2 linked regions of the Caenorhabditis elegans genome follow. The protein of the gene in region 1 purifies or fractionates together with the protein of each later gene. This does not show direct contact. Each region holds a gene or a part of one and is shown in the gene's direction. Other genes may lie near its edges.

Region 1 (3,754 bases):
CCGCAACAACAAAAGTTTACAACTACAGTGCTCTTTTAAGGCGCATACCCTTTCCGCATTTCAAAAAAATATGTCGTGTCGAGACCAGATACCGTATTTTTGGCGCAAAAATCGAGGAATTATCCATTCTGAACCGAAACAAATAATTACAGGTCCTTCAATTTTGGCTCTGAAACGCTCAATGCTAGTCAATTGGACAAGAGTCAGGATCAGACAATCTTTGAAAACAACTCAATTCTTGTCGACAAAAACGTCTACGAACAATTAGTTGCCACGTGTGATGCGATGAAGGCACAATTGCACCAATTGATGGAAATGGTCGATGAGAAGACATTTGATGATCAGAATCAAAATTCAGAAGAAATGAAATTAATTCTGAAAGAAAGAGATGAACTGAAAAAGAAAGTCGATCAAAAGAGCAAAGAGACTGTGCATTGGACCAAAAAATACTATAAATTGAAAGCTTATGGACAAGAAATATTGAAAAAGCGAGAAAATGAAATTAAACTGCTGAAATCGGAGGTCGTTGATGGAAAAAAGAAGCTCAATGAGATAGTTGAAACGATCAACCATTTGGAGGATGCAGCAAATAAAGAAAAGATCAAACGGAAGAATGTGGAAAGTGAGATGCGAAAAGCTGACAAGATCATCAAGGATGCTTTGAGGGAAGAGATGGAAGCAAGGAAACAGTCACAGAAAGAATATCTTCTTGAGAAAACTGAACGAATGGCTCTGGAAGAGAAAATTAGTGAAAATGTTAGTACTTGATTCTACTTGGTTTGAAAGTTTGACCAAGTTTTGCAAATTTCGCCTCAAAAAGTACGGTATCTGGTCTCGTTCAGTTCAAATGTGTGTGCGCCTTTAAGGAGTACTGTAGATCGTAAATATTTCGTTTTGCGGGATTTTCTAATTTGTTTGAAATTCACTGAAAAGCATGGGAAACTATAATATATCAAATTATTTTGAATGCAAACTAGGAAAAATCAATTTGATTTCCCTCCTCAAAGGCACAAGTTGTTTTTGAATCTAAGAAAATCGGTCGTTTCGGGACTAGATACCATATTTTGGTGCACAAATCGCAGTTTCCAGGCCGCTAGTGCTCGCGGAGTCATCGTCCGAAGTACTTGTCCTGTTGCCGATCATCACATCCTGAACCAGCGAATCGATGTTCTTCAACGACAGCGAAAAATTCTAGTGGAAAGTGTAAGCCAACATTTTCCCATGTTCCTTCTGTTAATACTACTTTTTATTCCAGATCAATAAAAGAGATTCGCCCATCCATCATTAGATCTCCTTCATTTTCAATGCTCTGTTCAAAAATTCAAACTCGTTGCAAATCAGTTCTAATAGTCCTCGATCAATAAATATTTCATGTTTCTTTTATATTCGAATTTTCAAAGAAAAACTACAGGAGTGTTCAAGTAATGTTTAAAAAAAACCAAATACGGTGTATTTTACTGGAATTTAGCCAAATTGTTGAGTAGAAATTCAAAAAATTGTCAAATGAAGTATCAAATTGGCAAATCCATTCAAATATTACTTTCAACTTTTAGCACTAAAATCAATAAATCGTGCCTCATGCCTGCCTGCCTACGTGTTGTCTGCATTTCGGCGTGAAATGGAAGGTTTGGTGTGCGCACCTGCATGTTATAGATTTCCTCGCGCAGCGGCCTTCTACTAATTATTTATGCTAATTTGCTTAAATAAATATTTTTACTTTTATTTTTAAATTTTTCTTCAATAATCTAAATTTTTACAGGCGAAATGGAGGTTAAAATAGAGGAAACCGATTGGGACGAGGGTGTTCCAGGAATTTCATTTTTAAAAGACGCGTTTTCTCGAGAAGAGATTTCTCCACCAAAAGACGATAAAAATCGAAAAAAGGAAGAAGTTCGAATGAAATTGGAAAGCGGAGAATATAGCGTGGTAAATGAATAATTTAAAGTTTTTAAAGTCCAAATTCATTAGTTCAGGTGTATCGATGCCCGACATTCGACGAAATTTTGAACGAAAACGGACAAAAAATCGATCTCGTTCAATGTAAAAACTGTTTTGGTTTTCTAAGCGCACGAACAGGAGGCCACATGAAGTATGGAGACTTCAAATTTATTTTTTTAATTAAAATTTGAATTTTCAGAAACCATAAAAACCAACGTTGTAAGCCGTTAAATGGTCCACCAGAAAAGAAACCGAAGCTTGATCCACAAGTAGTTGGTAATCTCCAGAATCATATTCTTGATTTCGTCACTGAAAGCGGCGTCTCCTTGAATATTGCCGAATCGGAAAAGTTTAGAATATTCATCATTTCAATGATAATTACTGGGTATTACAAGTATCCACTTCGTATATAAAAAAAATAAATTTCAGAAACCCGAATGTTAACGTTGACGAACATCAATTTCTTTCTGGCGAATGGATCAGGAAAACTATGAAAGAAAAATCCTGTCAATATCTTGATAATATTGGAGCCGAGCTGAAAGATCCTGTATCGAAAGGAGATGCATGCTTAATATTAGACTATGGCCGACAGCTGGACGATACTTTTTCGATTTTTGTGTCATATACTAATAGATCGAGCGGATATTTCAGTTTACGTGTGATTCCTCTCGCATTCACGCCTCTTTTTGAAAAGAAGATAACCGAAAAGGTTACTGTTATATTATTTTTAAAATTAATTACGAATAACTTTCAGACACTGGATTACATTCTTCATGCGACAGATCGTGTTGGTCTCCCAAAAGAACATGTTCTGAAGTTGAAAGTTGTCGCTGAAGGTGCCACGAATATGCTGAAACTTGGGGAATATTTCGATAATTGTAACTTGTGATTTTCTCGATTTGATTAAAAAAAAAGGAAAATTTTCAGATTCACCGTATGCCTATCATTCTCTTCAAAAATGTGCAGAAAGAGTTTTCGATCCACTGAAACCGTGGAAAAGTTCGATAACTTCATCAGAAAAATCACATGCGAAAGTGATCGAAAAAGGAATAGAAATCTGTGGAATGATTTCCTCCAAACTCCGGCTTTACAAAGTTTGATAAATATATATGTTCTTTCACTGATTCTACTATGTTTTCAGCTCACGGAGCAACTCTCGAGAACGCCTGCCCAATCCCGTGCAAATGAATGGCTGGCTTCTTATCACTGCGCGAGAGATATTTTACATGTCTTTCCACAAATTGCAGATCTGAAGGACGATCGAATCGAACCTCTTGTCGACGAATTGAGACAATGTAAAGGTGTTTTGGAGGATTGTTTTGAGATTTTCTCATTGTTCGAGAATCCTCTCAAGTTGTTGGAACAACCCGAACAACAAATTCAGAACGTGGCTGGGGTGATGTTCGAACTTTATGCTCAATTAGATAGAATATACATCAAAGCAGTGGATCCAAAGCAACCAAAAGAGGTAATTTATTATAGGGACGAAGAGAAATGCGCTCCGCCTCCAAACATTAGGTCTCCATAGGTATTGGCGGCAAACATTTTTGTTGTTGCTGATTTCACCCATTTCCAGTCATTTTCCGTCCATCTTGATTTTGTTTTATGTCTAAATGAGTTTTTTAAATTTCCTTATGACGGAAAAATCATTAAAGACAACGGAAAAATACTTGAAAACGTTTAAACGTTTGAATTTCTGGTTTTGCCGCTAATACCTAACGGGACCTTAATTTTGGGGGCGGAGCGATATCAAAAGGTGCATTTTTCTGCGCTCTTATAATAATTTTATATATTCTTTTAGAGTTTATCCATAATT
Region 2 (3,754 bases), 1.4 Mb from region 1:
ATTTTAAAGTCTTTTCTCTTTTCTGAGTAGATGGAGCGCGATGGAAAACTTGATGAAGAGATAAAGTGAAAAAAAAACAATGAAAGCGCGCTCCATCGGACAAAAAATGTCGGAATTTCAAAATTGCCGAATTTTAAAATTTTCGGCAACCGCGGCCCACCCCTGGTTCGGAAGTTCCAGTGTTCTCAGGCACACTGCCTATACTCAACTTTTGAAGGGACATGCCCTACAAATAGAGTAAACATTAAACCATTTTGTATTGTCTTCCACATGTATTCAAGTGTATCAATACCAAAAAGTAATGAAATAGAGAGAAGGGGGAGCGGAATGCCTGATGAATGATTCATTCTCTCTCTCCCGATGCAACATTTAGGGGAGATACATGCAATGACAATAAAAGAGCTGCTTAGTCATGTCACTTAATGACTTTTGATGAGGCTTTCATCACTTTTTGATGGGGAGGAACACTTTTTTGTTTCCATCTGACTTTGTGGCCTAATTAAGAAAAACTAGGCCATTGTGTAGATGGCTTTTAAAGTTTTGAAAAAAAGGTTATGGGAATCCCAAGAAACTTCAAAACTCTGATTTCGCAAAATTGAATTTCTATTAGAACGGTGAGATCATACATACCAGGGGTGTGCGGCAAATTTGCCGAATTTGCCGTTTGCCGAGCTCGGCAAATTTCAAAAAAGTAGATTTGCCGAATTTGCCAAGCTCGGCAAATTTCGAAATTTGCCGCACACGTCAAAAATTTGACAGTACAATTTTGACTAAAACTATTGATTTTTTAGCCAAAAATTTAGTAAAATGATACAAAATTGAGCTATTTTGATGCTTAAACAGACATTCTACGCGGAACTTATTCAGAAACCAGATGTGTGTTAAGAATTCAGTAGTTTTGGTGCTCCAAAAAATATAAAAAAATATCAAATTTTTCCGAGTTTGTTAAGCACGGCGAATTTGCCGAATTTGCCGAATTTGCCGTGCTCGGCAAATATTGAAAAAAGAGATTTGCCGAATTTGCCGAGCTCGGCAAAAGTGGCCTAGAAAATTCAAGTTAGGCCACCTGTCAATTTGAATGTTGAATTTTTATGTTGAAAATACTTACATAAGTTTTTTCATCCGTTTCACCTAGCTAAGCACATGGCCTAGAAAAATCAAAATTAGGCCACCGTAAAAGAGAAAATAATTTGTATATTAATATGAAACATTGAATGAGCTAAGGGGCTCCAGTTGCTTTGTGGCCTAAAAAATTTGAACCCTCGGCCACCTCCGTGAAATTTTCGAAAATTTTCATTTTGAATTTCATCGTAACGGCCGGGAACTTTAGCTTGATCACGTGGCCTAGAATACTGAAGTTTTTTGAGAACCGTTATTGGGGAACTTTCACGCAGGTACCTCGTGGGTATTAGGAAACATGGTCTAGAAAAAAAATTAGACTGTCTGCAAAATAATTTTAATCATTGTGTAATATTCTTCATTGTAAGGGCCCTAGAACCTTTACTTGGTTACGTGGCCTGGAAAACTCAAAAATTCGGCCACTAATTGGTTTTTTGAAGTTTTACTTGAAAAAAAAAATGACCTGATGTTTTTGAAAAGCAATACATTTTCTCTTAATATTAAATTTCCAAAAAAATGCCAAATCTGCCGTATTTTAAATTTCAAACGTCATGGAAAAAGATTATTATCTAAAGTCTCTTTCTATTCCAGCACTCCTTCCCCTCTTCTATTGGCCGCCCTTCTCATCTGAGCGTGGGGCGTGGCCAAATCCACCGTAGTCACCGAGAGGTTGAGCCCCGCCCAGCGCCTTATTCTATTGTTTCCTTTATCTTTGAGTTTTAGTACTCAAGTTCTTTTATTTGAAAAAAAAACTATCAAAAATTTTAAAAATTAGCATGCAATCATTTGATATTGAGTCCCTTATTGGGGTTAATAAGGTGAGATTTTTTTGTTTTGTATTTTGTTTTGAGAACCATGTTTTTTACTTTTGTAGAACTGTTATTTAATGTCTGTAAACTTCTTGTTGTCAAAGATCCATTAAAATTAAAGTTTCTAAATTTTTGTAGTTTTTTAGGGATTTTTTCAACTTTTTTGATAACTGTAATAGGTAGAAATAAAAAATTATATAATTTCATGCAATAAAATTTAATGAAAAATTATTAATCTAATCATAAAAGTTTAGAAGATTTATGTTGCTAAAATTTTATTTGATAACTGTAAAAGTTTCATTCAGTTTCACAATTTTCAAGATTATCGGGCGTTTGAAGCTTAAAAGATAATTTTTTTAAAGTGTTTAAAAGTGGTTATAACTTGGTTTGTAATAATGCAAGCAAAAAATTTTCAACAAACAATTTGTTCATTATGTTTTAAGCTATAATTTGTTAGTTGTCAACTTTTTGATAACTGCATTAGTTGCAGAGTTATGGACAATTTAATTAGGTTGCATAATCAAAAAGTGTCATATTGCATAATCTCAGCTATAATGCATAGTTGCATAGTTATTTGAATTATTGAAACATTTAAATTCTAATTTTTTAAAATCTGTTTTGCTAGAAGTTTTTAAATTATTCTTTAAACTATTTTCTTTTTTATTAATACTTTGAAATTTTGATTTAAGAAATACAGAAAAAAAAATTAAAATCGTTTTTTGAAAAGTTGAAATTACCGAAAATTATCTATTTTGACAGCCAAACTTCAGTTATTTCTAGTATTCAAATTAATTCCAATTGTAGTTGAAAAATAATTATGTCTAGTAAAACAATGTCGATTTTATTTTCAGATCAAAAACTGTTTACATAAAAAAAGTTGTTTTTACCTCTTTTAATCTAGAAAAATTTGAAAAAATATATCATTGAAACTTTTTCGACACCCTAAAGTCTTTTAGCCGAACTCTGAAGACCCCCGGACAGCTCCAGGATGATGCAACTCTTAGTTTCTAAGTAAAGCCTCCCTGACACCCCAAAACTGTTATGGCCTAGTTTTGGGTCCCTAGGCCACGTTGAGCATAAAATCTACTTTAGCCCCATCACCTAGGACACACCCCCCCCCCCCATCCGAACACATAAAACATCTCGTAATTCGAATTCTCATTTCCAGGTCCCATCACTTGTGGAGATGGTCGCCGCATCTCGAGCTTCCTCATTTTCCCCTCCATTTGAGCAGCAGCATCATGACCCGATGGGTGTGGTGGCCGCAGCGGCAGCAGCAGCAGCCGCCGGACGTCATCATCCGTATGGTAAGAAAAATGGGTGTGTGTGTGCCCGAGATGAGAAGGGACATAATTATTCAAGAATACTTCTTCCCCTAGCTTCATCTCCTCGCTGAACACTAATTTAGTCCCGTATTTGGGTGGGGGTGACAAATTGAGGGAGATTGATTGAGGTGGAGGGGGGTGAGCGGATGGATGAGGTTGACACGAGCAAATGGACAATGAGCACCTATTATGACACGTGGGAGTAGTGGAGCGGGTAGGCAGTGGCCGAGTTTTTTCTAGGCCACGGGCTAGAACCAACGCGTGAAAGATTACAGTTACCTCCGAGAAGTGACTGAGGTTGCCTTTTTTAGGCCAAAAGTATAAACAAATTTCCACATTCTAACTTTGATAGTTTTTACAGTTTGGTTTTTTTTAAATTCAAATTCCCCGCCAAAAATTTCTCCGCCAAAGTTTCTACTCTGAAAATTTGAATTTTCCCGTCACAACTTTTACTGAGTGAGATCTTTTGAAATCCCCGCCAATGCTTTTTCAACAAAGCTG

The links. The genes of interacting proteins can lie anywhere in the genome.
Region 2: the proteins of ZK1098.2 (region 1) and vab-7 fractionate together in Caenorhabditis elegans (co-fractionation; one large-scale study listed by BioGRID). This does not show direct contact.

Annotation. Positions count from the first base shown.
Region 1 is NC_003281.10:9,527,402-9,531,155, forward strand, and holds the start of ZK1098.2 (uncharacterized protein), read left to right. Parts: upstream 1-1,757; 5' UTR 1,758-1,764; coding exon 1,765-1,926; intron 1,927-1,973; coding exon 1,974-2,089; intron 2,090-2,137; coding exon 2,138-2,323; intron 2,324-2,367; coding exon 2,368-2,647; intron 2,648-2,692; coding exon 2,693-2,823; intron 2,824-2,865; coding exon 2,866-3,406; intron 3,407-3,754. Other genes in the region: ZK1098.6 (uncharacterized protein), read left to right, coding at 153-756, 1,090-1,203, 1,256-1,288.
Region 2 is NC_003281.10:10,918,491-10,922,244, forward strand, and holds the start of vab-7 (Homeobox protein vab-7), read left to right. Parts: upstream 1-1,853; 5' UTR 1,854-1,895; coding exon 1,896-1,937; intron 1,938-3,096; coding exon 3,097-3,235; intron 3,236-3,754. UniProt on the Caenorhabditis elegans protein: Transcription factor. Involved in motor neuron fate determination and maintenance, acting as a transcriptional repressor to counteract gene activation by transcription factor unc-3 in a subset of motor neurons.